Pelodiscus sinensis: one gene and its partner. The protein of the gene in region 2 purifies or fractionates together with the protein of the main gene of each other region. This does not show direct contact. Links are inferred from orthologs where the notes say so. Each region holds a gene or a part of one and is shown on either strand. Other genes may lie near its edges. The genes, in order: MLX and MLXIPL.

What was found.
Region 1: the proteins of MLXIPL (region 2) and MLX purify together in Homo sapiens (affinity purification with western blotting; 3 studies listed by BioGRID and IntAct, counting the BioPlex papers as one, with this or other methods). This does not show direct contact. The link is inferred for Pelodiscus sinensis from reciprocal best matches to the Homo sapiens genes MLXIPL and MLX.

Annotation. Positions count from the first base shown.
Region 1 is NC_134739.1:8,863,194-8,878,779, forward strand, and holds the start of MLX (max-like protein X), read right to left. Parts: upstream 7,146-15,586; 5' UTR 7,071-7,145; coding exon 7,026-7,070; intron 6,686-7,025; coding exon 6,649-6,685; intron 5,888-6,648; coding exon 5,798-5,887; intron 4,996-5,797; coding exon 4,889-4,995; intron 4,738-4,888; coding exon 4,638-4,737; intron 4,010-4,637; coding exon 3,910-4,009; intron 3,388-3,909; coding exon 3,186-3,387; intron 2,104-3,185; coding exon 2,047-2,103; 3' UTR 1-2,046. Other genes in the region: coenzyme Q-binding protein COQ10 homolog B, mitochondrial-like, read right to left, coding at 11,893-12,060, 12,306-12,407, 13,051-13,243, 13,485-13,637, 14,277-14,362. UniProt on the Homo sapiens protein: Transcription regulator. Forms a sequence-specific DNA-binding protein complex with MAD1, MAD4, MNT, WBSCR14 and MLXIP which recognizes the core sequence 5'-CACGTG-3'. The TCFL4-MAD1, TCFL4-MAD4, TCFL4-WBSCR14 complexes are transcriptional repressors.
Region 2 is NC_134731.1:16,401,595-16,416,428, forward strand, and holds the start of MLXIPL (carbohydrate-responsive element-binding protein), read right to left. Parts: upstream 7,925-14,834; 5' UTR 7,837-7,924; coding exon 7,409-7,836; intron 1-7,408. UniProt on the Homo sapiens protein: Binds DNA as a heterodimer with MLX/TCFL4 and activates transcription. Binds to the canonical E box sequence 5'-CACGTG-3'. Plays a role in transcriptional activation of glycolytic target genes. Involved in glucose-responsive gene regulation.

The DNA of each region.
Region 1 (15,586 bases), on a different chromosome or scaffold from region 2:
AATTGGCCCTGGACTCATCAGCTGATAGCAACCCAGTGATTCTGTGTCAGCAGTAAACAAACTGGAGAGGAGACACTTTTACAATGCTTAGCAAAAATTTATTATAATTACTTTCCAAGATAGAAAAATATTTCCTTTCCCCCTGAGTGAGGTCTGTAAAAAGCAATGCCCTTGGAGAAATGCACATGCCACTTATTAGTAAACAGCACAGGCTTTTGCTTCTGCAAACAGGGTGCTTTCCTGACAGCCAAGCAACCTCTTACAAGAGTTCTGTGTCTGAGCTTGAACTGCCTGAGCAGTAGCTGCCCCTGGTGTGTGCAGTTCACTTCAGCGTTAGACATGTTGCTGCAAATAAATGCTTGGACTTCCTGGGGGCTGTCTGCTGCATTTGCACTGACTGAGGTGCTCTGTGGAAGTGTTTTCTTTTATAAAATCCAAGACCAACAGGAACATTTCCTTGGTTACATGGAAAACGTCAGTTAAAACTTTATGCCTCAGCGTTTGAAAGGCAAACAGCCAGCACTAAGAAACGACCACCGAAGGAAATGCACAACAGCCACTCTCACTGGATTTTTAGAGGTGTGGGCACATAATTGGAAATGAACAAATAATGTAGTAAGAGATTCACTTTGGTGGAGTAATTCCAATAGCGTCACCTTGTCTGAGTAGTAAAAAGCCATTGCTGCTTTAGCGGACAGCTGCCTGTTGCTGTTAAGATTTCTGGGGTGCTAAAGAAAGAATCAGGGTGTAGCTGGTTTAAATTGTCCCAGACAAGCAGCTGTCTGCAAAATGTAAACTGATAGCAGGTTAGTGTGATTTTTTTTTTCAATTCATTACAAAAATCAAGGCTTTATTATATATAAAACTATATAGTTCTAAACAAGAGGAGACGTCTAATTAGTCTGTGCTACACTATTCTACTTTCCCAGACAGTATGACTTCATTGTAAGTGCCAAGTAATATAAAGCCCGACAGATCAGCCTCTGTGCCGATAAAGCTAGAGAAGCCTGTAAAGAAAGCTGCATTCATCTGCAATTGTTTAGGACCCGGGGCAAGAGTCAGGCCAAGGCAGCAGCTGGCTCAAGCCAAGGCCAAAGCTATTGTCATCTGTGCGAGAGTCCCTTTGACACTGTTCCTCACCTCTCCATGTGGCAGTGATGGGCCTGCTTCCTTGGCATGCCTTTTTGAAAGTCATTCTGCACCAGGGAAACAAGCAGCCGTCGGTCCCTAGGCAGGACGAGGTGATTGGGACACACCAGAATCACTAGTCCCGAACCCGTCTCATCGGTAACTAGAACCAGCTGCTTCAGAGACAGGTTCAAGAAATCCTGCAAGGGTGGGAAACCTGTCCAAGGGACACTTCTTCCTAAGCCCCGTTGGTAGAGGTCAGTGTGTAGCCTGGTGCAGGAGGGTTTATAGCTCAGCCAGAGCTCTTTAATAGGGTGGGGGAAGAGAGGTCTCCCTGCCTGTTGCTGGGCCACAGTCCCTGCTGCCATTCACAGCCCCATGGGGTGATGCAATGTCAGCAAGTGCATAGCCTGAAACCAGCCGTGTTCAGCAGCTCCCAGCCAGGCTCTGTGGTTTCCAGGCCCTGCATCCTCACAGGCAGTAGTCAGACTGCAGGCCATTCCCCTCTCCCTCTGCCCAGAGCAGGCCAGGCAGCAAAGTGCTGAGCACCCGCCACCACTGTAGGGAGTCAGGCGCAGGAAAGGCCTAGTTGCTGCTGTGCCAGTTTGGTGAGACCCTCCCCCTCCTTCCTTCTCGGCAATAAGAAGTGTATTTAATCCACATTTAAATTCCCTTCTCTGCCGAGTCCCTACGGACCCTCTGGTGCTACAGACTGCGACAGGGTCTGTGGAGAGGTATGTACAGCCTAGTTTTGGTTTTGGCCAATACAATAAATAATCCAGAGAGAAGCTTTAAGAACAACCACAAGGGAAATAGACCAGCTATTCCTGGAGCCTGTTTCCCAGTTGGGCCGTGCTCTGCAGCTGTCTGGGTGAAGGACACAGGCCCAGGCTGCTGGGACCCGGGCAGGAACAACAGTCAGTAGAGCTGATTCTTCAGCTGATGCAGAACCCCCAGCACGATGTCGCGCAGAGTCTGAGAAGGAGGAGAAGGAGGAGGCAGGATCAGTCACCCCGCGAGACAGACGAACATTTGCCTTGGCAATGCCTCAGCGGCTTCCAGCGCAGACCCAGGAACTCCTTACAGAGCGGGAAAAGTGAATAGAAAGGCAGCTGGGTACCCACTGCCCCACCCAAGCACAGGTAGGTTTAATCGCAACATACCTAGGGGAGGTACCGTATTACTGGGAGTATGGGACCTACCAGCTTGGATCAGAGGAAGGACTCAGCCTGGTCAGTTTCCTGTCAGACTGTAGCAGAATCAGCTGCTTTAGAGGAAAAAAGCTTAGTGCAAGCAGGTGTGGTACAGAGGGTCCCTGCTATAAGTCGCCCCGGTATACATCTGTTCCACACTAAAGTTGCTGATGTTTGTAGAAACTGATGCATTATAAGTCATGCGAAACACTCCCCCCAGTTTGCTTAAACGGAAGTCAGCCGTGGGGAAAAAATTACGTGCTTTAAGTTAGTGATAGATATGTAGCCTTGTTAGTCTGGTGTGGCTGAAACAAAAAGCTTTAAGTTGTTTCGCTATAAGTCCAAGTTTTTTGGAATGTATCTTGGACTTCTAGCAAGGGCCCCCTGTATACCCACTTGCCTCTCAGGGTATGTCTATGCAGTGCCACGTAGCTCAAAATAAGCTATGCAATTCGAGCTACGCAAATTGCATAGCTTATTTTGAAAGAGTCTATTTATTTAATTTCGAAATAGACCATTATTCCAACAAGTCCCTTAATCCTCATGGAACAAGGTTCACCGGGATGTCGGAATAGCAAGCCCGTTATTTCGGGATACCGGACATATCCCGAAATAGCACCGCTGTCTAGACGTACCCTTAGGGAAGGTTTCTGTCCTATCAAAGCTTGCTTTAGCTGGAGAACAAGAGCCCCTGTAAAAACTCAAAAACCATCAAATAGTCCTGCAGCACCCTGGAGACTAGCTAAGTGCCGAAGGGTATCTCTACGCAGAAAAGAACCTCACCGCAATGAATTTCAGAGCTAGGGGCAAGTCCCATGAAGGTGCTTGCCCCATGTCATGCACTGTACGGCTCCTAGAGCTTACCTGTGGCTTACAATGCTCCTCAATCCAGCTGAAGACACACGCGGAAAGTTCCTGAAAACTTGCTACCGAGATGGAGGCATTAAAGGACTGGAACAGTGAATCCATAATGCCTTGGAAAACATTAAACTTGACTTGGTCAGAGACCTGGTCTTTCCCCTCATTCGGATTATCCTGATGAGCTTTCACAATCTGCTCATAGTTTCTGAAACAGACCAAAGAAACCTGGGTAAAATGGCAGGCCAGGGAAGCTAGTTCTGGCCTGAGACACTCTCCAAAGATCTGTTTGAGGTGAAAGAGACTCAGGGACGTGCTGCAGTGTTTGTGGAAGGGCCTTAACTGTGCTTGTTAGGACTGAAGGTAGCGCTCTTGCTGGTTGTAGGGTTAAGTTAGCAGGCTCTGGGCTTTAAGTTCCTTGAGGGGAATAAATACAGGGAAATTGTGGCCTCCCTTCTGTGTTGGAGAGGACACCCAGGAGCAGGCTGGGTCTCCTTGTTCAGAGTCGGTACAGCCCTACGGACAGTCCCTGGGCTTAAGCCATGTCCCCACGCGCTGTACTGGGATCTGCGTCAAGCCCAGATTCACAAAAGAGCCAGGTAGTAACCAGCTCTAGGATGGAATGACACGGAACAGGTGGAGGGGGGAGATGAGCACTTACAGCATGTGCTGCAGTATGCAAATGTACCCATCTCCCGGGGTGGGGTGGGGGTGTGAAACTGTTCCTTACACTTTCATGATCTTCAAAGCTGTGACATCTTTCCTGAGGGTAGAAACGTCCTCCTCCTGCTTCTTCTTCTCCTTGTGGAGGAACTGAATGTAGTCAATGGCTGCAGGGGAGGAGAGGGGAGGGGAGAATTTTAGAATAGATCAGTGATGTCACTCTGCAGGGGGCAGGAGGACGGTGGGGCCTCTGCAGGATTGATGCATGGCTGTCGATTTCTTCCCTGCAGACCTCATGCATCCAAACTGACCAGGAGGCAGTCTCCCAACTCCTCTCCTGAGAGTCCCAATGCGTCATACCCCAGCTCCAAGGAGAGGGGAGCCAGGTGCTCTAGATCATATGCTGGGAAGAGTCCCAGACTCCTAAGCCCTAGACCCAGTCTTCCTGCCTCAACCCAAGTGATTTCAATGCCTGTGAGCAGCAAGGAGGGGCTGACAGGTGGGTGTGTGGGGGTTGAACTAGGTAGCTAGTGCTTCACCCTGCAACACTGTGCCTCCTTTGCCTTGCTAGGCTGATTGCACCAGTGTTACTCAGCCTCAGCAGGAGATCAGGGGAGCAGTAACCTGCAGAGCTGAGTAGGGAGGAAGCAGACAGCTCAGTGAGGCCTGACACAAGATGCCTATTAGTTTGGTTTTGAGTGTCTGCAGGGAAGGTTTTACAGCCTGGGGGGGCTCTCCACATTGAACCCCCATGAACAGAGGGTGGCCAGTGCCCCACTCCCCCTCCGGACTCACTCTTCTGCAGGACGATGGCTTTGCTCAGTTTCTGGGAGCCGATGGAGAAGTCCTGCTGCTGGCACGTGGGGACAATGGCCTGCAAGTCGTCGTAGCCTTTCTGTGGAGGAGCAGAGCAGAAGTGACAAGGTGTTGTGGATTCAACAGCAGCGGATGATTAGAGCTGGCTGAGTCAGTGTTTAACAAGGTGTAAATCTACAGCTCCCACGGGTTCATCTGAACCCCTACAGCATCCTGAACGCCTGGGTTACCTTGATGGCATCTCGTCTCTTCTGCTCAGCCTGAGTGTGGGCACGTCTGCGCCGGTCCTTGTAGGACTCTTTGTAGGTTTCCTGGCGATAATCGCTGTCTTCATCATCTGCAGCAGAAGAATGGGCACCGCTGGCTCGGGGGCACGTGGCAGCTCCCAGAGCCCAGGAAGCAGACACAAAAACTGCTGAGGCCACACAGACACCAGGCAGTGTCTGCGCTGGGGAGCATTTCAACTGTGCCAGAGGGCTGGACTAGCTCCACACAGCTTTTCCAAAAGGAGGGGGCCAAACACAGTAAAGATCCACCTGTCTAAGGACATCTCTGCTAGCAACAGTCCACAGTGTGTGAGCAGCTGGGGTAATTCATTATAGGGAAGGCTGATACTGGATACCACCTGCTTCTCCCGCAGACCCCAGGGCTGGGTCCTGGCTTGTCTAGGCAAGATTCTTACTAGCAGGGCTCTGCTGCATTGGAGTCTGCCCCAGGAATTTCAAGGCACTGGGTGTCTAAGCAGAGATCCCTTCCATAGAGAGACCAGCTTTTCAGCACTTCCTGGAAATGAGGCCTCTAAGGTGTCTCAGCCTGAGCATCCATCACCACTCGGCATTTGAAATTCTTGGCAAAGAAGTTTCGTCAGCCCCTCGCTCCAGCTCTCCTCTGTTCTCCATGGTCAGGGGAGTCCCATCAAACTGCCCTGCAGCAAGCCACGATGCCCTCCCTGGGCTTCCCTACCATTCTCCCTAGCCAAGGACAAGATGTCTGCACTAGCTGGCAGAGGAAGCTCCTGCAATCACGGTCTCGTACAGAACAACTCCTAAGGAGACCGAGACTGAACAGGAATATGAGTGAGAGAGTGGGAAAAGCCCCTATTGTGTGAGACGCTGCTGGAACATGGAGAAGGACCATACCTGTATTGGGGACCGAGGAGGCACTGGTGGAGCCAATGCTGTTGGCTCGGGATACTATGCTTCCTTTCCTAGTGCTTTCCACAAAGAATGCTGAAAGAGAAAACACCGTAGCATATTTTCCTACATCATGCAAGAGGAGGTAAGTGTCACTAAACCTGAGACACTGTAAACTGGACACAGAAGGGATCAACTTTACAAGGCAAATTACAGGGTAACTAGCTCCCAGACAGAGTGCAGATAGATGCAATGAATGCTGAAATGCCACTGGGACCCGACGTGAAACCTTGCTGTGCTTGAATTGGTTAACTCTAATATCCTTTGCACTGCAGTTTCCCCAAAATAAATTTCAGGAGACATGAGAAGGGCTCCACAAACCTCTTACTGATGGAGCACAAAATACAATGATGATTTTATCTGTGCTGCTTTTCCAAGGAGCAGATATGTCTTGCTTTAAAGAGAGAGTGCAGATTTGGACCAAATTCAACTAGACTGTACTTCTCCTAGTAGCCTAAACTAGAGCAGCAGTACTCAAACGTTTTGGGCTGCGGAGCCCTTTACATGTGTAAAAAGTTATGTGGAGCCCTAGCAGTCCACTGATTGTGTGTGTGTTGAACTTATGCAGAGCCCCAGCCGTCCACTGATTGTAGGGGTTGCACCTCTCCATGTTTCCAGTTTGTCAACCTCGCGGCGCCCCTGGAGATAGCTGGGGGAGCCCTGGGGCTCTGTGGAGCACAGTTTGAGAAACGATGAACTAGAGCCAAGGACAGAAACGACTCCAGCTCCCTGGCCCATTGAGGCAGCTGTGGCCTGATGGGAGTGTGGGAGAAGGGGACACGGGGGGATCTACTCACAGGCATCCAACCCGCTGTCGCTGTAGGCAGACTCCACCTGGGGCGGGGCGGGGTGAGCGAATTGCAGCAGGAGAGAGAGAGACACAAACCAGGCAGTGAGCGAGCCGTTTCCTCTTTCGGGCACGTGCCTTTTTGCGCAACAAGCCATTATCCCACCACGTGACAGCACGTTGGGGTCCCATGGGGGTCGCCCCCCCCCCCCCGGCCCTGTGGTCACCCCCCCAGCTGATTCATTCCGTGACCTCTGACCCCCTCCGTGGGGGGACCCCTCCGCCTCCGTGAGTGGGGGGCGGGGCCGGGCAGCGCCGCCCTCTCCCGGGGAGACGGGGCCTCGCGGTGTGTCCCGCGCCGGCCGCCGTCCCGCCCTGGGGACTCACCTTCCCCCAGGGGTCCTCGGGCGAGGTGCTCGCCTGCTCCGCCATCTTCCCCAGGGCTCGGTCATGTGACCACCGGGCGGCAGCCAATCGCAGCGCTCGCCCCCCGGCGGGGACAGGGGGATCCGGGAGACGCCTCCCGCGGGGGCTGACGGGAGCTGTAGTTCCACCGCGCGGGGTGACGGCGGCCGAACCCAGGGTTCTGCGCCACCAGGGGGCGCCGTGACACTGAGGATTCTAAGCCGGGCCGCGAGCCACGTGGCGTGGGGGGGGGAGGAGGGAACCACGTGTCAATGCTGCGAGGGGCGGGACTCTGACCTCACATGACCCCAGCCCCTGCCCTGAGGCTGACCTTTGACTCAGGAGACCCCATTTCCGATCTAGGGCCCTAGGGCTGGGTCCTTGGCCTCGTGTGACCCCCACGCGGTGCCCTCTCCTTGACCTCTTGCCGTGGGGCAGGCCCTGCAGCCACCGCCTACCTACTTCCTGTCTGTGGGCCTCCCCCCAGCTACCCAGCCCCATGGGACCCTGGGAAGGGGGGCTCCCGCCTTGGCCGGGAACTGCCCCTTCCTCTGAGGAGGCCTCAGCCCCTGGAGCAGGGCATGGGGCTGGGCTCCTGGGGGCAGGGAGCACTGTCCCGCCCTGCTGTGATGTGTGCACTCTTGGGGCTGGGCAGCGCTGCTCACCGAGGGGGGGGCTTTGAGCCACTCAGGTGATGGGGCGGGAGGCAGCTGCCTCAAGGAGGTGGCTGGCGCTGTCCCTGCACGAATTTCTTTTGGGACATTCCCAGCTGATCCCTGCAACGGGGCCCTGGCAGCACTTGCTGCAGCAGGCTCAGTGTTTGCTCTGTCGCTCCTGCCACCGTCAGTGGCCTCCTGCTGGCTGCGTGGGCCTCCCCAAGGACCCTGCAGCCTGGGCTTCCTCCTAGCAGGAAACGAGCTTCCCAGGACACTGCAGGGGCTGAGGCTGTCTCACTCCCAGCGCCAGCAGGAAGAGCCAGCCCCTGGGGCCCGACAGAGCTGGGTACAAAGGAATCAGAGACATGACTGGATGCCGGGGGAGAGGGGAGGTGTCCTCCCAGGGCAGCACAAAGCAGAAAGGGCCAGTGGAGCAGGCGGGGCAGGGAATGGGCATCCCAGTCATGTCTCTGATTCCTTTGTACCCAGCTCTGTCGGGCCCTTGCCTGCAGCCCATGAGTGCTCTACAGCCCTGAGACAGAGCCTGCCCCAGCACTGCCAGCTGGGTGCCGTGAGCACACGGAAGTGACATGCAAACGTCACACCTGCCCTGACGCAAGTGAGGCCCTGCCTCTGCCCCTGCCTCGGCAGCACCACCAGGGCCCCAGGCTGGCAGCAGCCCAAGGTGTGTGATGAGCATAGCCCCAGGGCTCAGCTCTCATGCTGCCTGCATGCCACACACCTCACCCCACCTGCCCAGGAAACCCCCCCAGCTAGGCCTAAGCCCCAGGGAAAATCACCACGATTCCTCCCCTGTGCAAGGCACTTGCTGGCCCCCAGTACTGAGCTGCAGTAGCAATGGGCTTCGCCTTCCCCCCACCCTGTGGGGACACACAGCACCTGGGGCGCAGGGTGGATGAGGTGACTTGCCGCAGGTCGTGGAGACATGCTGTGTCAGAGTCAGGAATGGCCAGCCAGGGCTGCTGATGCCCTTCACCACTAGGAACCGGGCCACCCATCTCCCTGGGAGTCGCCCAGCCTGGCAGCCTGTCCCAGCAGCTGCCGCTGGCACAGAATGCACCTCGCCACTTGACCATTTCTGCACCTGGTGTGACCAGCCAGTGCTCCAAAGCAGGACAGGCCACAGTCTGCCTTGGCCAGCTCCCTCCTCCTCCCCCCCACGCGGTGTCAGCCCATCCCCTCCTCCCCCCCGCAGCCCAGGACCCATGCGCTGCAATTGGGCAGTGGGACGCACACCCTGGGGCACAGGCCATGTTGACTCAGTCAGATGGGGCTGGAGAACCTGCCTCTTCCATTGCATCAGTGGGAGTCTCTGCCAAAGCAGGCAGGCAGGTCCCTTCCCATCCCCCTGCAAGGGCAGCCTCCCTGGAGACGCACCCCCAGGCTAGTGCACCACGGAACCCCCCCCCCCCCCCCAAGCACACACGGAGCCCTGCTTCCTACGCAGCCCCACTGCCCACTGCAGCCCCCGGGCGAGGCACGCTGGGCAGGGTGCTGCTAGCTGGGCACCCCTCTCCCACTGGGGGAGGCTGCCCCTGCTCCAAGCTTTGAGCAGAGAACACGGGAGCCACGTGGCCACCGCCCTGAGCCCCTGGGCCCAACCTCGACTCGGCGTGTGACCCTCCAGCAGCCACCAGTGCCCCGGGAGTGCCACAGAGCAGCGACACTTCCCTAGGGCACCCCTGGCTCCCCTCCCTGCCCCCTCACCAGAACATGCCCCCTTAGCCTACATCCCAACACGACGTCACATTCTCCAGCCTATGCCAGGGGCCGTTGATTCCTGCTGCTGGCGTAATCGGCCCCGAGATAACAGCCACCTTCTGTCCCCGGCCTGGCCCTTCTGACGCTGGTTGCCCGGCTCGCACAAAGTCCACTGCTGACGTGCCCCTGCCCCCCCCCCCCCAACTTGGCTGCGGCCCAAGGGGACTCAAAGGGCACACGGCACAGTCCTGCTGCACTGAGCCAGGCCTGAGATGCCAAGCGCAGCCAGCACAAGCTCGCGCGTCCCCTGAGGGGTGCGAAGGGAACAGCCCTGGGGGGCCGCACTGACCCATTCCTATAGGCTGCTACCTGGCCAGGAGTCGCCCCCAGGCCCTGCGTGGCTCGGTGCTGCACAGACAGACCCATCTCAGGCAGCGGGATGAGAGATTTGTGCAGGGGACACTCCAGACCCAGGCAGGCTCCTGGGAGTCTCTCTGGAGGATGCCGGATGCCTGGAGCCACCTCCTCTGACTCCCAGCTGCTCACAGGCCCCGGTCCCCAGCCCTGGTACCACAGGGCACCTGCAGTGAGGGTCTCCCACCCCGAGGTGCCTGCCTGGCACTGGGGGATTTTGAGGGCTCAGCACCCAAGCCAGGGGAAACGCTGCAGGCAGGGCCGGGCTGGGGGACCCCCTCCCCCCAGCCTCCTTCAGAACCTTGTCTGGATCTCCCGGCGCCAATAGCCTGCGCAGCACCAGGATCTGGGAGGGGGAGGGGCAAGGACCATTCCTGGGGCCACGAAGCCCCTGGCCTGGCCCAGCATGTCCCTCTGGCTGGGCCCTTCCAGGGCACCGCGTAGGGGCTGTTTACGAGAGCAGCTGTGATGCAGAGCTGGGGGAGAGCGCCAGGAACCCGGGTCTTCCCGCCTGCAAAGCCGTGCCCCTCGCGGCACAGAGAAAACATTCTGTGCTCTCCTCCTGCCCCAGCGCCCGGCGCCCCTCCCCAGAGCCACAAGCCAGGGGAATTGCTGCAGGCAGGGCCGGGCTGGGGGCTGCCCCCCAGCCTCCTTCAGAACCTTGCCCGGATCTTCCTGCTCCAATAGCCTGTGCAGCAGCGATCGGTGGGGCTGCCCAACCCTCCCCTCCCCTTCCCTTCGCATGGTTTGGGCAGCTGCCTACCCAGCCCCTACCCAGGGGAGGCCAAAGAGCTCAGCAGGGTGGGATGGGCGGGCTGTGGTAACCCCCTGCACCCCAGTTGAACAGCCTGGGCCATGCCCACAGGTTGCAGTTCGGCCAATTGGTTCTGTTGGGGATCTAGTTCATTGGGGGATGCTAACGGGGAAGGAAGGAGCAGGCAGCTCCCAGGGGGTTCTGGCACCGACTGGCTTCAGCTCTGTGAAGCTGGAGGGGGCAGCGGCTCCTTTGCCACCTTCCTGCGGGAAGGGCAAGTCCTGGAACCTGAGCACCAGCCCAGAGGCTGCCAGGAGGCCCTGGGCCCAGAGATGGAATGGCAGACCCGCCGGATCCCCTGCGCAGACACCCAATTGGCAAGTGGCAGGTGCCAGCCTATGGAGGGACTGGAGCTTCATCAGTCTGAGAAGCTGCCCCTGGGACTCAGCCCCTTCCCACTAGGCATTGCAGCCACACTCCCCAGCACCAGCGTGGGGCCCTTCGACCAGCAGCACCGATGCAGTCCAGGGGACTTTGCATTCAGCAGAAGGGGGCCGGGAAGACTCAAAATGGGGGGATGGGCCCTTCACCTTCACACTGACGCGCTGGGATGCAAGCGGGGCAGCTGCCAGCACTCACAACCCCCCGCCTAGCCGCACCGGGCAAAGCCTGTGTCACACCAGATCACAGGCAAGTTCCCTGCCAGGGGAGGGCTAGTCATGGTTTCACGGCTGGATGCCTCACATGAGGTGCCTCCAAACTGTTACCCCCCCCCTCCAAGAGTGGTCGTGCGTGGCCGTGAAATGGGCAGGAAGCTGGGCTCCACACTGGATTCCCCCCTTCCTGCTCCCAAGGCATTTCCTGTTTGCTCAGTGCACCGAGACATCCCGGTGACTTCACTTCCCAGACGCGGGGGGAGGAGGCTGCCGAGAAGCGATCCAGAAGCCAAGGCTGGCGGGTGAGGAAATGTTCGGAACGACAAAGCTTCATTGCACATTTTATTGAGGTCACATGAAAACCAGAACATTTAAAAAAAAACCAAGACACAGAGCCTCTTAATACTGGATATAGCAGCAGGCCCAGAGATCAGGCCAAGGGCATTAAATAGAACCAAAAAAGGATTAAAAAAAATAATTTCTCTCCAGGGCGCGTGGTTAAATAGACATAAATAGACCCAGGGATGGGGCGGGGATGGGGGGGGCGTCCAGCCAAAAATCTGGACAGAATGAAACGAAGACAAAGTCTTCTGCTGTGCTCCCAGGAGGGTCCCACTGTGGCAGGAGAAGCTGCGCTGGAGGCGGCGTCACATGCAGCGGGCTGCCCGCACACGCTTCTGGGGCCGCCGGGCCGCCTGCGGGCCGTACGTCTTCTCGGCCCACCTCTCAAAGGCTGCCACCATCTGCTTCACCACCTCATTGAAGAACAGCTGGGCCAGGTGGGAATGCAGGATGGACTTGAACTCAAAGGAGACCTGTGGGGGGGGGGACACAGAGCTTAGCAGAGCCAGGGGGTGCGTGGCCAGGCAATTACGCACACGCCTGGGGACCAGGGCAGGACTTGCCAGCAAGATGGGGGGGGGGGGGGGGGCTGGCCTGTCTGAAGCATTCATCGACCCCGCATGTGACCTGCCTTGAGCGACCGCTCTGTGCAGGGGCCTCTTCCACCCCACGCCCGGCCCAGCCTGCCTCGGGGACAGGCCCGGAGGGGAATACTCACATAGAACTCTAAAGTGCAGGTGTCCGGCTGCCCTGGCAGCCCCGGGCCAAAGCTCCAGACGGTCTCCAGGTGGCGGAAGAGGTGGCCGTCATTGCACACAGCCTGCGGGAGGAAAGGCGGCTCGCGTCAAGTTTCAGCTGAGCGGAGAGGCGGGAAAGTCAATGCCCCCCCAGCCACATCCCCGCGGAGAGCCCGGGAGCCATAGACACAGGGCCTGCGGCGGCCAGGAAGAACCAGGCTTCCTGTTCGCGTCTGAGCAAACCTTTGCACAAGTCAGTGAATGTGGAAACAGCTGCACAGGCTGTGCGGTCACCCGCCAACCCCCATCCCTCGAGTGGCTGCCGGCTCGCTTGGGCACAAGCTCCCTATCCGGCAGCTGCCCCGAACGCCGACGTCAGCGCATCCCCAGCCCTGATCTGCCAGGAACTGGACCCAGGACAGTTCGGCGCTGGGTGCCACCCAGGTTTGGCTTGGCTCCTTGGAGCCCAGCTGTTCCCTCAGCAGGAGGGATGGGGTGTTGGGGGCTGCCTCTCACACAGCAACTTTTTGAGAGGGGAGCAGCCGGGATCAAAGCCATAAGAACAGGAGGTCTGTCTGGGAACCACAGTAGCCCGTTCCAAGACCAGCCTCTGTGCCCCTGCTTGACACGCTTCGGGCCAGTGATCAGAGGTGCCGAGCACCTGCAGCGAGTTGTGAGTGCTCAGCTCCTCCCAGCTAAGCCCCAGGCTCCCTGGCGGCCCCTTACCCGGATCTGGTGCTGGGGAGTCAGGGAGATCTCAGAGATGTAGCGCTCCACGAAGGGCGCGAAGCCGACCTCCAGCTCGGCCCGCGTCAGCCCTTGGCGGCAGGACAGGACCTTGGAGCTGCTGCACCACGGCACGAAGTGCTGGTAGCTCTCCACGTCGGCCACCACGTTGTACATCTGCTCCGTGGAGTAGCTGGGGGGGGAGAGACAAGCCGCCCGTGAGCAGGGGCCGGGGTGACAGGAGGCCGGCAGGAGCTCACGTTTCACAGGGTAGCGGGCAGAATCCTTGGCCAGGAGTTTATCAGGCCCGGGAACCCACCTGCACCCCACCCCCTCCCCTGGGTAACAAGCCCCAGCCCCCTCCAGAGGCAATTCCAACTCCCACCCCCTCGGCCAGGTTCCTGCAGCCCCCCCCCTCGGAGCCACACACTCACCCCAGGACTCGCATCTCCGAATACTCCATCCGCTTGCTGCCCAGCTGCGCAGCCGCCAGGTTCAGGAAGCTCCGCGCAGGCAGCACCAAGGCCGGGGTGACGGGAGGTCGCTTGGGGACTTGCAGAGCCAGGAGCCCACAGGAACTTAAATGCCTGAAACACAGGAGGCCGGTTCCAAGGGGTGAGCGACAGGGCACATCCCGGGGGGCAGCCCAGCCTCGTGGGTGTGGGCGGGGAACACCCCCGGGTAGCGCAGCCCTCGATCCCCCCGTGGGTCCAGCTTTCCTCTCAGCCCCAGCGCACTCCAATCCACGCGCACCCCAATCTCCCAAGACTGATCCCCGGCAGCACTTGGGGGGTGCCCCCGATCTCCCAACACTGACCCCCGGCAGCACTTGGGGGGTGCCCCCCGATCTCCCAATGACCCCCGGCAGCACTTGGGGGGCGCCCCCGATCTCCCAATGAGCCCCGGCAGCACTTGGGGGGCGCCCCCGATCTCCCAATAGTGACCCCGTCAGGACTCGGGGGGCGCCCCCCACTCTCCCAACACTGACCCCCGACAGCACTTGGGGGGCGCCCCCGATCTCCCAATGAGCCCCGGCAGCACTTGGGGGGCGCCCCCACTCTCCCAATAGTGACCCCGGCAGGACTCGGGGGGCGCCCCCCACTCTCCCAACACTGACCCCCGACAGCACTTGGGGGGCGCCCCCACTCTCCCAACACTGACCCCACCAGCTGGGGCAGGACCCGCGGGCCCGGGGCCCGGCTCAGCTCCCTAGGTCCGGCCCTTACCCAGTCCCGTCCCCGCGGCGCGGGCGGCCCCCGGCTCCCCGCAGCGCCCGCAGGAGCGCGGCTCCCCCGCGGCTGCTCCCGGCCATGGCTCTGGGCTCTGCCGGCCGGGAAGCCCCGGCCCCGGCATCGGCACCCGCGGGGGTGGCCCCGCCACGTGCCCAGTGACACCGTGGGAAACTCCCCTGGGGCGGGGCCGTGGCAAGGGAGGGCTCCGCCCCTTCGGGCAGGAGAGCCCGGGGACCCTGGGCGAGGGGGGGTCTGGGGTCCCAGGCGGTTGGGGGGTCTCTGGAGGGGTGTACATGGGGGTCTGTGGCCCAGGACAGCTGGGGGGGTCTCTGGAGGGGTGTACATGGGGGCCTGGGGCCCAGGACAGCTGGGGGGGTCTCTGGAGGGGTGTACATGGGGGTCTGTGGCCCAGGACAGCTGGGGGGGGTCTCTGGAGGGGTGTACATGGGGGTCTGTGGCCCAGGACAGCTGGGGGGTCTCTGGAGGGGTGTACATGGGGGCCTGGGGCCCAGGACAGCTGGGGGGGTCTCTGGAGGGGTGTACATGGGGGTCTGTGGCCCAGGACAGCTGGGGGGGTCTCTGGAGGGGTGTACATGGGGGCCTGGGGCCCAGGACAGCTGGGGGGTCTCTGGAGGGGTGTACATGGGGGCCTGGGGCCCAGGACAGCTGGGGGGGGGTCTCTGGAGGGGTGTACATGGGGGCCTGGGGCCCAGGACTGCTGGGGGGGTCTCTAGAGGGGTGTACATGGGGGCCTGGGGCCCAGGACAGCTGGGGGGGGGTCTCTGGAGGGGTGTTCATGGGGGCCTGGGGCCCAGGACAGCTGGGGGGGGGGTCTCTGGAGGGGTGTACATGGGGGCCTGGGGCCCAGGACAGCTGGGGGGGGGGTCTCTGGAGGGGTGTACATGGGGGCCTGGGGCCCAGGACTGCTGGGGTGGGTCTCTGGAGGGGTGTACATGGGGGTCTGGGGTCCCAGGCGGTTGGGGGGGTCTCTGGAGGGGTGTACATGGGGGCCTGGGGCCCAGGACAGCTGGGGGGGGGGTCTCTGGAGGGGTGTACATGGGGGCCTGGGGCCCAGGACTGCTGGGGGAGTCTCTAGAGGGGTGTACATGGGGGCCTGGGGCCCAGGACAGCTGGGGGGGGTCTCTGGAGGGGTGTTCATGGGGGCCTGGGGCCCAGGACAGCTGGGGGGGGTCTCTGGAGGGGTGTACATGGGGGTCTGGGGTCCCAGGCGGTTGGGGGGGGGTCTCTGGAGGGGTGTTCATGGGGGTCTGGGGTCCCAGGCGGTTGGGGGGGGTCTCTGGAGG
Region 2 (14,834 bases):
TGGCCATCAGCTGTGTCACTGGCAGAGGGTGTGAAAGGAACGTACAAGAGCCAACTCCTGCCTGAAGGGAGGCCAGGGGACGACCAGGATTTCTGAACTCTTGGGGTGCAGCCTCATTGGGAGGCTGGTCGCACAACTGGCTCCACGGTGAGGCTGTTCCCTGTGATCTCACCTCCTCAGTGGTGCTGCCCAGTCCTGGCAAAGGGAGGTGTCTACCCGTGAGTCCCTAGGAGGGTCTCTCCCCACAGTCCTTGCTATGGGGAGGAGGAGGAGATCATAAGATACACCTGAGACTCCCCTCACCCTCCATTAGCACATGGGGCAAGGCTGGGGGAGTTTCTGTGTTCCATGCTGCTCCTCCCCACACAACAGAAGTCAGTAGTAAACCAACAGCTTGTGGCTGTTCTCAGCTCTGTTGAGCTTTCCTGGCCAGGTGTGACATGCCTGGGTCCTGAGGAGGAGCAGCAGTGCAAAGTCATGGGACCCGTGCAGCAGGACTTCATCCCGGGGGCCACTCCTGTGCTGATGCATGAGTGCCACCTGCCCTCTAGAGCACCCATCAAGGACTGTGGAGCACAGCAGAGATTCTGGTGCTGCCCAGCTGATTAGCAGAGTGCCCACAACTAGGTTTGTGTTTCTGCTGGTGGTCCACATTCACACATGCCTTGGTGCACATAACATTGATTCTGCACATGCATGGGAAAGATTAGAGGGACCATCACTGTGGCAATAGGGGACAATCAGGTGGACAGGAATGCACTGCATGGGGGGCACCTCTGCTATCACCAAGGAGTTTGAACTTTCCCTGCAGCTACAAAGCAAACACCCTGCCAAAGCTAAGCAGGGGAGCCAATGGAGTTGCAGAATTTCCTGGGTGCTTGGCCGGTGCCAACTGGCCAAGGTTACTCAGGCGCAATCACTGCCAAATGTGCTGAACTTTGACCTGTTAAAGAGGCAGCAACTCACCCTTCAGCAACAGGCTTTAAAGAGCCCCTGTCCCACAGTGCTAGCCCCATCCCATGACAGGACATGGACCCCCCTTAGGAGCATGGAGGGAAGAGGGAGATGTTATAATCTGCATGTTGTTTTCCTGCATTCATCATCACGTTCATCAGACTGATCTTTGCTCCATGATCCATCCTTGAAGCCTGCCCTGCCCCTTCTGGAGTAGCCCCTGGAGCATAGTGCACCCAGCTGGGAAGCAGGACTTGAAGAGACAGCCTGGAACTCAGAAAGGGAAGCCCAAGCTCCTGGTCACAGGCATGTCCTGCAGGGCAGAAGCAGCTTCCCCTGTAGCCTGGGTCTGAGATGGGACATGGCTGGGATTCTTTTTGGCATCCTGCATTGAGAGTCGGTTCTGCCAAGCTGGGGATGGACCAAGGTGCACAGGAAGTGCCTGGCCCCAGGGAATAGACATGGAAGAGGAAGGGCACTTGGAGAAGCAGCTCATGCCAATGGACAAGGCAAGAAACCGGGACACAGGATGGTTTAGTCTCAGCTTTGTCCAATGGCAATTCTCTCAGTGTGATCTAGGGCAAGTCACTCAACTTCTGGGCCTCAGTTTCCCACCTGTAAAATGGACATCAAAGTACTTATGGGGGGAGGGGGTTTCTATGGTCAGAAAGTGCCATTTCAAAGGGCTGTTCCTGAGTAGAGCTCAGTGAAGCAGGGGCCTGGGAGAAGTTTACAGCAATGTCACGAGACCTACCAGGCCATTAACTTCAGCTGTGTATCCTCTGACACACTCACAAGCCCCACACCCCCTGCCCACACCACAGCCCTTTCCCAGGGCTGCCCACAGCATGTGGGTGTAGATTGCCCAGTGTGGGAGACAGGGGTGACAGACCAGAAACAGGCAGGACATTGACCAAGATCCATCCTGGACAAACACAAGAGGCAAAGCTGCCAGAAATGTCACCGCTGGCCTGAGCACACAGGGGAGAGAAGGCAGCTATTAGCAAAGTGGTGCCAATGTAAAGACCTGGAGGAATCACATCACAGAGCAGGGAGGGGACCGGTGCGTCTGGTCCCACTGCCACCAGAATATGGAGTCAAAGGAGGACCTCCCCAAATTCGATGGACACAGACAACAGGGCAGGAGCTCCAAGAAACAACAAAACCTGAGGGACTGCAGGAAGACTGAGAAATGAGCTCTACAGAGCTTGGCTAAGTGACTTCCTAGTGGAGCGGGGCAGGAGATCTCGCCTGAAGGGATGAATACCAGGGGCAAGAATTAATCCGGTTTGGGTGCAGGGCAGGGCCAAGGAGAAGTGGGATGAAATGAAGAAGGAGAACATTTAGGCTGAATACCAGTGAGATCAAGGGATCCTGGGGAACAATTCCCAAGAGAAGCAGGAGCCCCAGGCCTTGAGCGATTTAAACAAATCACCCCGCAATGCACAACAGCGCCCATCCTGCTCCAGAGTGCAAGCGAATGGACACAGTGGGGCTGCACAAGGCTCCTCCAGTCTCTCCCCATTCCAGGGAAATCCAACAGCTGAGAACAGGGGCCCAACCCCAAGCTCTGAATCTCTCCTGGGTTAAGACGCCACTTAAACATGATGCCAACAGAGCACACAGCCACCCCACCTGGTCTGCAGTGACAATGGCTGTCAGACCACCAGAAACCCCTAGTCTCCGAATCCAGCTTCCCACAGGCCTGCTCCACAGCTGAGCCTGAGCTGCCCTTTCAGCCTGAACCGAATAGCCAGGCAGCGTCTAACAAAGGGCACCCTGTCTGCTAATGCCCTGTCCCCACTCAGAGCTCTGGCCGAGCCCAAGGCCCTCAAGGTGCATGGTGAGAGCTGAATGCGCAGGGTTGTCTTCCCCGTGCACCCGAGAGCCTAGACTCTGCGGTGCCCTTAGAACTCTGAAATCCTGTTCTTTGTCAGCAAACTGTTACATTCCTTATTGCGTCTCGGCTGTGGCCTGTCCCAGATCTCCCCTTGTCCTCTTCCTGCCATGTCCTCCAGCCAACAGAAATGTGGCCACGCACTGCTTTGCACTGTTTCCTCTAAAACCCTCTGTTCTCCATCATCCTGGTTCTCAGGCTCGCAACCTTGGGTCCATCTGCAACTCCTGCCCCCAACCCTGCTGCATTTCCCTCCATAGTGTAGCAAAAAGCCAGCTCTTCCTCCCCAAGCTACAACACACATCCATGCCATGACTCCTGGTCCCTCCTCCCTGGCCTCCTCAACATTCACACGTAGGATCTGCCATAGAGAAGAAGTGTGGCCCAGTGGTTAGAGTGCTAACCAGGGACTCGAGACCTGTAGACTTCCCGTGTGACCCCGGATATGCTACTTGGGCCTGGTTTGCATGGGAACTTGGCCAAAATCAGCATCCAAGGGCTGTAACTATGCAGAAGAATTTTGCAGAAGCGACAGTCACTTGGGGAGGAGACCTACAGTGTCAGAAAACCCCATTCTGTTGCTGTTGGCTGTGTCTACACTACAGGGTTCCTGGGGCATGGCTACAGCACTGCATCTGTCTTGCTCTAGTGCCCAGAATGTAGATATGGCTTTAGTCTCTCTGCCCATGCCCCATGCGTTCTTCCCATCCTGCTAAAGACCGAGAGGTGCTCAGAAATTACAGCAATGGGGCCTCCATAGGCCAGAGCTTCCCCTCTCCCTCCAGGCTTCACACATAGAGCAGTGTATGGGGAGATCTAGCTGGCCGAGTGAAGCACAGCCTGACTCTCAATTCGATGGCATTTCTCTGAAATGAGATCATTTGTGATGCAGTTCCAACTTCTCAAGGATTGTTCTGCACATCTAAAGACAGAGCCCTCATGACTGATGAAAAGCAGAAAATCCAAAGAGGGAAGGAGGAACACAAGGGGTGCGTCTAGACTGGCAAGATTTTGCGTAAACGCAACCGCTTTTGCGCAGAAACTTGCCAGCTGTCTACACTGGCCACTTGAATTTGCACAACAGCACTGACGTTCTAATGTAAGAATTCAGTGCTTCTTGCGCAAATACTTTGATGCTCCCGCTCAGAGATAAGCCCTCTTGCGCAAGAGGCCAGTGTAGACAGGCACCTCCATTTTTTGTGCAAGAAAGCCCGATGGCTAAAATGGCCAAAAGGCTTAGATATTCATTTCTGGCTTCTCATCCCAAACCAGGATAGCATCTGCCGGACTGCAGTCTGTCAGTGCAAAGCCTCATACTGGGCATGGATACTTTTTGCGCAAAAGCATCCGTGCCAGTCTAGATGCTCTTTTGCGGAAATACTTTTAACGTAAAAGCGTTTCCATTAAAAGTATTTCCTCAAAATCATATCAGTCTAGACGCAGCCATGGAGTTCCTGCTGTCCCACTTTCAGGGTATATGCCCCTGTATTCCATACGGTGGATGGCATATTATTTTCCTGCCTTAAGAGCAGGATGACGTGGGTGTGTTTCCAAATGCTTTTGAAAGGGGGTGTGAATTGAACAAGGTGGGGCAGAAGGACATGATCTGGTATCTGGCTCCACTTCTGTCAGGGACAAAAGGCTTAGATATTTTCACACTTACGGCTAGAATGGGTGATCATACAGATTAAGAGTAGGAAAAGGCTTTGGGTGCTGGCTGGCTGCAGATATCACAGTGTAAATCCAGGGAGCTATGCAGCCTGCACGCCGATCTGAAGGGAGACAATCCCTTGCCTCTTACCAAAAGAGGTGATGGCTGGGAGCTTGAACCCTTTAACTGGGGTCCTTGAGGGACTATGATGACATCTGGGCTGGCAGCTGGCTGGCAGGGCCATTATCTTTGTCCCCCTTTGTAGCTGTCTGTAGATCAAAGAATCTGTGATGGCTGCATTACTGCCTTGCAGTGTAACAGCATGCAGTGTAAGCCTGCCCACCCTCCCAATACAGTGTAAAGTGCGGACACCCTGAAGCACTCAGCTCTCAGACAGAAGTAAGGGTGATGACAGGGAAATAGAAGCATGGAGGCATACACAAAGCCTCTGGGTTGGGCGGTACGGGTGACATCAGGATGGGGAAAGGAAATGGGGGAGGCACACAGAAATCCTGGCATAGGGTGAGGGGAAGAAATGAGGCAATATACAGAACCCCAACATGGAGGGAGAATGGGGGACAATGGTATGTGGAGGGAACCCCCACATTTTACAGCTGGTTAAAAATGCCAGAGGTTTCTTAGGGGACATTGTGAAAATAAATGATGAGTTTCTTTTTAGTTGGTCATCGAAGATTTTTTTTGTTTGGGATTTTTTTAATTAAAAATGAAAAAGAAAAATGTTGGTTTTCATTCTTTAAAAATATTCAATAAGTGAACCCGAACATTAAAAATTTAACCACAACTTTTCCTGAAAATGTCTTTGTTTCTGGCTTCTCATCCCAAACCAGGATAGCACCTGCCGGACTGCAGTCTGTCAGTGCAAAGCCTCATCTGGGCCAACAGAACAGCCCTCTTTTAAAGCTTGTTTTGATGAAAAGTGCCCAGCGTGACCCAGCACCGTGCTATTTACTGAGTCCTTTCCTGGAAGTCATCAAGCTGAACTCTGGCAGCCTCATTAGCAGAAGATGCTCCACACGTATCTAGGTGAGCAGTGTGCCTGGTAATGAAATACATGGGCGAGAGAGAAACTCTCCGTGGAAAGGGCTAGGCACAAAGGCTTGCTCGGCTCCTATGCCAGTGCAAAGGAAGCATAAAATGCTACCAGATCTGACTGGGAGCCCTTTGCAGTCGGGATGTGATAGTGTAGTCAATGAACCGATTAACCAATAAGCAAAAGTGCATAGGTTAATGCTATAGAGTACGTGCATTTCCCCGCCTCCCCCACCAGTGCATTTTTAGCAGGCTGGCCAGCAGCCCGGCTCATTTCTGGCTTGTGATGGGTCCTGGACCTGCCCCTGCTGCGGCTCTGCATTTAAAGTGTAGTAGGAGCTGGGCGGGCAGGCAGCCTGGCTCAGGTCTGGGAGCTCAGATGCTCCACCCAGACAGGGGCTGCTGCCACCCAAGCTGCTGACTCTTTATCAGAGGCAGCAGCACAGGGCAACAGGCAGGCGGTCTGCAAGGGGAGCTGGTTTTTTAACTGGCTCCCCTCACAGACCAGCACCTGCCTGGCACCCAGAGGCAAAGGCAGCAGCGCAGGGTGGCAGAGGGCTCCTCAAGAGTGAGGCCGGAGCACACTGGCTGCCGGCCCTGCCCCCAGGGACTATAGAATAGTCGACTAACCAATAAGAATTCATGAGGTTACTCGACTATTCAATTAACCGATATTTAACATCCCTAGAGTGTAGACTGTGCTGGGGCGTCACCGTGCACCCCGGGAAACGTCTAGACTGCAAGCTTCTTCTGAAAGAGCATCCACACCTCAAAACCGGATTGAAAACTGATCTGCTTTTTCGAAAGAGAGCATCCAGACTGCATGGAAAGAAATCCCTGATTGCTGTGCACAGAATGGCGCAGCAGAATGGCCACCAGGGCACCTGGGCTTTTTTCGATTCCCTCTTCTTTCAAAAAATGCCCCTGTTCTGCGTCCACACATGCCTTTTTTCAAAAGAGCTCTTTCGAAAATGGCGTTCTTCCTCGTAATCTGAGGTTTACCAATGTCGAAAACCCTGTATTCTTTCCATTTCATTTCAAAGAACGGCATTGCAGTGTGGACGCAGGTGACGTTTTTTCGAAAAAACAATGTAGTCTAGACATACCCCCAGTGTTGTTCGGCACCTGGAGGGGGGCCAGGCCAGTGGGGCCTTGTCTCCCCATAAAGAGCTGGAGAGTCCAGCTGGAGGGAGCAGCCCCAGAAGAGGGGAGGCAGATTGTTCTGTCTAGGTCCTCTGGGAAGCAGCCTGAAACAGGGCTGAGAAGGGAGGGCAGGCTGGCAGAGCAGACCATGTGTTCTAACAGCAAAGGGCTGAGGGAAGGGCACTGCCTCTGGGCAACAGGAGCAATGTCTCAGCGGGTTTCTGCAAGTGCAACAGCCCGTGTGCTGCTCTGGCCCCTGTGAAGGGACTTGGGGCTGTTGGGTAAATAGAAAGCACCAAGTGCGTATCGCTCGTTTCTCTTTTAATATGAAACTGACCCACTGCAAAGCCCCAAAATCTGCTACTCATACTGGGGGCTATGAGCCCATATTAGTACCAAGCTAGTCTGTGATCATGTCGCTAATATCCACCCCCCACTGCCAGGGACACAAAGGGGGGGCAGAGATAACATGCTGATGTTCAGTTGTAGGGCTCTTCTGAAAGAAAAACCAAATGGCTGCTGGAGCGATTTTCAAAAGGGAAAAGAGCCTGGGGGATGAGCCATGGCCAAAGCACCTGTTCTAACTGTATATTTTGATCTGAATTCAAAATGTGATCAATGTCCTTGACCCCTGTCTATATGCCAGAGGCCTGCCACACAGAGCTGGGGAGGGGGAATCCAGGGGTCCCAGTCAAAAGGATCCTCAGACTTACCTGTAGGCCAGGCTCATGCACTCGAAGAGTCGGGTGAGAGTTGGGTCGATGGTCCGGGGATCTGCTGGCTCCGGCTCAGAATGGTGGGGGCGTCGGCGGGGCACCAAGTCGCTGTGCGGCGAGGACACCATAAAGTGGCCGCTGTGGATGACCTGGGAGTGGGGCAGGGAGCCTGACCCTGGCCCAACACTGCCTGAGCCCAGACCCTCTGAGTCTGAATCAGAGTCTAACTCTGGGACTGTCCTGACCTGTGGGTCCAGAAAGGCTCCATGCAGCCCCACCTGCATTCCAGCGATGGTGCCCGGTGCAAGCAGCCACCCACCAGTGTGACCCTCTTTGTCTGTCTGGGGTCTGGGTACCTGGGAGGCCCACATCATGGCAGTATCTGAGCCCCACACATGTCCATTAGCATAAGGCGTGTGCACCATGCCCCCAGATCTGCATGTTGCTTCCCCACCCTCTCCCTGACTTGTTCTTTGTCCTGTGTCCTGCTTAGCTTGCCATTCCCCTGCTTCTTGGCAGTCCTATTTATAGGGCCCCCAGGTATAATCCCACCCCGCCCTCTTTACTCCAGCCATGCCTGTGGGCGGGGACAGGGGTGGGCGCTGGAGTCGAGCAGGGAATTAACCCCTTGTCTGCTGGATCCAGGGAAAAGGGGGAGCTCTGGGTCACACTAGAGTCTATTTCCATGACAAGCTGCCTACATTAAAGGAGAAGCCGCTCCAGCTTCCATCTGTTCCCAGCCCCCGCAGCTAGGAGGCCAGAGACAGGTCTGCTACTACAGCTCAGTTAGCTTTGTTTACCTTGGCTCAGCGCTGCTCTGCCTGCGAGCGGGAGAAAAATACACGGTATTTACCTAGCACGTCTGTACTAATGTTTCCCCTGCATTTCCCAGGGAACAAATACAGATTAAGGGACAAAAACAGGCAATTATAGCGACCAGGGTCCAGCTCAGCACAAAGCAGGGAGCGACTCGCGGAGTCATGCCCAGGGCCCTGGAAACAGGCAGCGTGAGAACCTGCTTTCAACTGGCTCCTCCAGGGTCTTCCGCTGAGCCAGAGAGAGGCAAAGATACAGACAAGTTCTCCCGGGGGCCTCTGAGGAGGCAAGGCCCCCAAGAACAACTGGCAGACTTACTCCGTCCTGGGCCTGAAAACTTACAACTGACGTGCTAAGGGGAGATTTTCAAAGATGGCTCACACCTGCCTCTGACTTCTGGGGGAGCCAAGCAGCCAGCCCCATGGGGGCCATTGAGAATCTCCTCACCCTTTGACCCAGGATGCATCTGCAGTGAAGGCTCTGCCCAAGTCTCCATGCTCTGTGCTGTCTGTGGGTGATGGTCTGCACAGGGGACAGGCTGAAGGGGGGTGCGGTGCTGTAGCCAGGTCACGACTGAATGAGAACATTGAGAAGAATGTTCCTAGCATCACGGAGTATGGCCAAAATGGCGTATTTGAGTGTTGGTGTCAGAATATAAGTATAATGATGGTAATAAGTGCTATACAATTATATGAAATGATATGCCAAGAAGGCTAAAGGCATATTAGGGTGCATTAGGAGGAGCAGTGCCAGCAGATCCAGAGAAGTGATTATTCCCCTTTTTTCGGCTCTGGTGAGGCCACATCTGGAGTACAGGCAGTCCCCGGGTTACTGATAGGGACTGTAGGTTTGTTCTTAAGTTGAATTTGTATGTAAGTCGGAACTGGTACATATTGTAGGGGAAACTCTAGCCAAACATTTCTCCAGAGCTCAGTTTTATTCTCCCACACCTCGCTTCCCTCAGTCCTTTATTCTCAAGCTGAGGTGTCTGCTGAGAAAAGCCGCTCCTCGTCTCCCTGGTCTGCTGGGGGGCGGGGGTAGCTTCGCGTCTCCCTGGTCTGCTGGGGGGAAGCAGCTAGTGCGGGGTTGCCTCACCCCATTTGTAAGTAGGGATCCGATGTAAGTCGGATCCATGTAACCCGGGGACTGCCTATATTGTGTCCAGTTCCGAGCCATCTACTATAGAAAGGATGTGGACGCATTGGAGAGGGTCTTGAGAGGGCAACCAAAATGATTAGGGGGCTGGAACACATGACCTATGAGGAGAGGCTGAGGGACTTGGGGCTGTTTAATCTGCAGAAGAGAAGAGTGAGGGGGGATTTGATAGCAGCCTTCAACTTCCTGAAGGAAGGTTCCAAAGACAATGGACAATAGTGACAGATGGCAGAACAAGGAGCAATGGTCCCAAGTTACAGTGGGGGAGGTCTAGGTTGGATATTAGGAAAAACTATTTCACTAGGAGGGTGGGGAAGCACTGGGATGGGTTACTTAGGCAGATGATGGGATCTCCATCCCTAGAGGTTTTTAAGTCTCGGCTTGACAAAGCCCTGGCCGGGTTTAGTTGGGATTTGGTCCTGCTTTGGGCAGTGGGCTGGACTTGATGACCTCCTCAGGTCTCTTCCAGCTCTATGATTCTAAATTCTGTATGCTTCAGTTTGAGCCTGCCAGCCATCCTTCATGATTAGACAATGTTGGCTGTAAAGTCTTGTTTCTTGTTAGCATTACACATTAAGTTGTGCCTCTTGTCTACATTGTAAATTAAATTAACTTAAACAACAAATGGTCCTGCAGCACTTATGTCCCAGCAGGACTTTTTGAAATTTCTTTGGTAACTATATGATCCTTTCTAAAATGTAATCCTGTCTAAAATGCTCAGTGAAGATTCTTTAACAGGAAACAATTGCTGTAAATCATTTGTTGTGAGTGGTGGATATGTACATAGTTAAGGATAAGTGTGAAAGCCATCACGAATGCCCAAATGGTGAAGAAGTGAGAACTTTAAAGACAACCAGGAGGCTAGAATTAAATTAGCAGAATTGATACACTTTGGAGACAGGACAAAAGAGATAACAATGGGAAGCCTGACAATAGTCATCAAAGGATAACTGTGGAAAACCGAAGCAAAATGCAGGACAATGTAGCACTTTAAAGACTAACAAGATGGTTTATTAGATGATGAGCTTTCGTGGGCCAGACCCACTTCCTCAGATCAAATAGTGGAAGAAAATAGTCACAACCATATATACCAAAGGATACAATTTAAAAAAAGTGAACACATATGAAAAGGACAAATCACATTTCAGAACAGGAGGGGGATGCGGGGGGGGGGGGGCGGGGGGGAAGGAAGGAAGGTAAGTGTCTGTGAATTGATGATATTAGAGGTGGGGAGAGTGGGATGTCTGTGAGCTAATGGTATTAGAGGTGATAATTGGGGAAGCTATCTTGGTAATGGGTAAGATAGTTTGAGTGTTTGTTCATTCCTTCCCGGAGAGTGTCGAATTTTAACATGAATGACAGTTCAGAGGATTCCCTTTCAAGTGCAGATGTTGTCACATTACCGAATTGGAGGGAAGCAGCCAGATCGCTGCTGCACCCCTAGGTGGGGGTGTTGGCCACAGAAATTGGTATAAAAGGGAGCCATGTGGGGTATTGAATGGGAGCCCCGGATTCGAGCAATTCGCCCTGAGCGGACGCCCTCAGCTGTGCCCAGACACGGCCCGGTCCGTCACAGTGGCGTAGTCGGCAGGATCCACAGATCTTGGTCAATTGAGCTTTGGGATCAGGACCCCACGCTGTCTAAATTTGATTTTTAGTACTGAGAGTTTGGTTGGGTAAAGGGCAGCCGAAATGAGTCAGTGCCAGTATGAGAGCCTAAATAGAGAGGCTCTGAAGGATTTGTGCTCGGGGAGAGGCATTGCCTTTAGGAAAAGGGCCTCTAAACTAGATCTGGTAGTGCTGTTATTAACCAGAGATGTGGATGAAAAGGAGCAGAAGCAAGCCAAGGAGGCTGCTGAAAGAAGGCGGAAGGCAGATGAAGAAATTGCTAAGAGAAAGCAGGAGATGGATCGGGAACTTGAGATGAGAAAAGCAGAACATGCAGAGAGAATGGCAGAGCATGCAACTGTGACGGACCGGGCCGTGTCTGGGCACAGCTGAGGGCGTCCGCTCAGGGCGAATTGCTCAAATCCGGGGCTCCTTACAGCTCCCCGACTGGTGACCTCTCCAAACAGGCCACAAACCAGTCCCACAGAGCGCTTCAGCTGCCTGCCTGAAGCCTCCCGAGCAAAACCCCTCCGACGCCCCAGCAATAACCGTGCCCCAGATGGCCCCGGGCCTCATACACAGGTGGGGGGGTCCTAGCACCCAATCCCACCTACCCCGAACAAGTTCTGTCCGGTTCCAAGAAACCAGCCACAGATCCCTGGTCAATTTACCCTCTGGACCTTACCCACAAATCACACTGGGCCAATCCTTTAGAATCTATATCTAAAGGTTTATTATTACAAGAAAGAAAAGCCTGAGAGTAAGGTTATTAAAGTACAGTACGTTACATGCACCGAATCTCCCAGTCCTCGATGCAGGCTCTAGCAGAGGTGTTGCAGCTGCTGGTTTAAAAGTTCTTATTGCACATCCTACGATCAGGATGGGTCCACAGGTCTTCCGGGCTCTTCAATCCCTGCATTGCTGCCTCTGGGATGAAGTGCTGAGCTGAGAACAACATGGCATCGACCGCATGGCCTCTTTATACCTCCTTCCTGGCCTCTTCTTGTATGCAGCAAGTCACCTGGTCAGAGGCCAATCTCTATGTTCCCTGCTGGCTGCCCTCAGATGACAAACCCCATTCTTTGGGTGTGTCCATAGCCCATTGAGAGCCATTGTCCCACAGGGCCTGGCTACTCAGCCTGTCCATAGCAATGCTTACCCACATTCAGAGAAATATTCAGCTTCCACACAGATTACAGATTCCTACCTACACACACAGACATTATATATTCACATAAATAGCGTACATAAGATCAACAAACAATAAGCTCCCATTCAATACCCCACATGGCTCCCTTTTATACCAATTTCTGGGGCCAACACCCCCAACTAGGGGCGCAGCAGCGATCTGGCTGCTTCCCTCCAATTCGGTAATGTGACAGATGTAAAAGGTCTTTGTAGCAGAATGCAGGTGGTTAAGTCATTGAGAGAGTGTCCTTTCTGGTTAAAATGGAAAGAAACTGTTTTCTCTTTGTGATCTTGTCTGATATCTGTTTTGTGGGCATTAATCCTTTGGCGAAGTGCCTGAGATGTTTGTCCAACGTACATAGCATACGGACACTTTCGGCACATGATAGCATTAATTATATTACTGGATGCGCAGGAATATGTGTTCTTGATCTTATAACTCACTTGGTTAGGTCCAATAATGGTATCAGCAGAAGGAATATGTGGACAAAGCTGGCAACGGGGTTTGTTGCAAGGGAAGGTACCAGGATTGGTATTAGTGTGGTATGTCCTGTGGTTGTTGGTAAGAATCATCTTGAGGTTAGGTGGTTGTCTATAGGAGACTATGGGTCTGTCTCCCAGAGCCTCTTGGAGTATGGTATCCTGTTCCAGTATAGGCTGTAGTTTATTGATAATGTGTGGACAGGTTTAAGTTGGGGGTTGTAGTTGATGACAAGTGGTGTTCTATTGTTGGTTTTCTTGGGTCTGTCTTGAAGTAGATGGTTTCTAGGTATTCGTCTGGCTCTTTCAATTTGCTTTTTTATTTCTCCGGGTGGGTAGTTGAGGTTTATAAATGCTTGGTAGAGATCCTGAAGTTTCTGGTCTCTGTCAGTGGGATTAGAGCAGATGCGGTTGTATCGAAGGGCTTGGCTATAGACGATGGATCATGTGGTGTGTTCTGGATGGGAGCTGGAAGCATGTAGGTAACTGTATGAGTCGGTGGGTTTTCTGTAGAGAGTGGTGTCTAATTTTCCATTGTTGATTTGTACTGTGGTTTCCAGGAAGTGGATCTCTCGTGTAGAATGGTCCAGGATGAGGTTGATGGTGGGGTGTAGGTTGTTGAAATCTCTGTGGAATATCTCCAGTGTTTCTTGGCCATGCGTCCAGATCATAAAGATGTCATCGATGTACCGTAGGTAGAGAAGGGTGAAAGGGGACTGGAGTTGAGGAAACGTTGTTCTAGGTCAGCCATAAAGATGTTAGCATACTGTGGGGTCATGCGTGTACCCATGGCTGTGCCGCTGATCTGGAGGTATAAGTTGTTCTCAAACTGGAAATAATTGTGGGTGAGAACAAAGTTACATAGGTCTGCTATCAGGTTGGCAGTGGTGTCCTCTGGGATAGGATAGTGTTTCTAATTGCTTGTAATCCATCTTCATGTGGGATGTTGGTATATAGAGTTGGTATATGGTGGCAAGGATGGTGTTATTGGGGAGGTTATCGATGTTTTGTAGTTTCCTTAGGAAGTCAGTAGTGTCTCGGAGATAGCTGGGGGTGTTGGTTGCGAAGGGTTTGAGAAGAGAGTCTACATAGCTGGATAGACCAGTAGTGAGCGTGCCAATACCAGAGATGAAGGGACATCCGGGGTGCCCAGGTTTATGGATCTTGGGAAGCAGATAGAACAATCCTGGTCGGGGGTCAGAAGGTGTTTCTGTGTGGATTTGTTCCCGAGTAGCTGTGGGAAGGAGACAGTGTAGTTTCTTTTGGTATTCCAAGGTGGGATCAGAGGGGAGAGGTTTGTAAAATGTGGAAAACCCTGAGAGTAACACCATTTAAGGATTAATGATTGCAGCATGACATTGCAAAACGCATAGAATCAAATGGAAATTTCTAATTGCTCTTATTCTACGGTTCAGAACCTTGTCACATCCAGGGCCAACTGAGGCCTGGGACAAAATACCGATAAATGTATGCATTGATTACTATGACATTTTGAGACAATTTTAGGGATAACCTAGGGTGATGTTACAGTTAACGTGTCTCTGAGGTCTCAAAGGGGTAGCCATGTTAGTCTGTAACTAAAAGAACTTACTGTACATGGGGAGAGGGGACAGGCAGAAACATCTGGATCTCACTATGCATGTCAAAATGATTGCCATTACCAATGCCATGTTAATCTCTCTCTCTCTCTCTCTCTCTCTCTCTCTCTCTCTCTCTCTCTCTCTCTCTCTCTCTATATATATATATATATATCTATGAGAGCATGTCTGTAAGTCCCAGAGGGGTAGCTGTATTAGTCTGTAACTTAAAAAACAACAAATAGTTCTGCAGCACCTTCTGTGCGTCCATTTGTTCAAGAGCCTCTCCCAAATGGTAACAGCTATGAACACCAAATTCGGTAGGCAGCTTCCTTTTCTCCTAACTTAAAGCAAGTTCAGGGTTTGGTTGTGTCCAGAAAGTAGGAAATCCCTGGAATGGAAATGCTTTCCATAACATGGAAAGGGAAGGGACCGCTGTCCAGAGGGCTGTGAAACTCACAGTGGCCATGTGGGCATTGAATGCTGGAGAGAGCTATACTGCAGAGTGACTGCTGGGGGCAGCCACACCGCCAAGAGAAGGGCCAGCTGAGGCTGGGGCTTGCCATTAGACCCGGTAAGTAGCCTCCCTGCCTCAACCC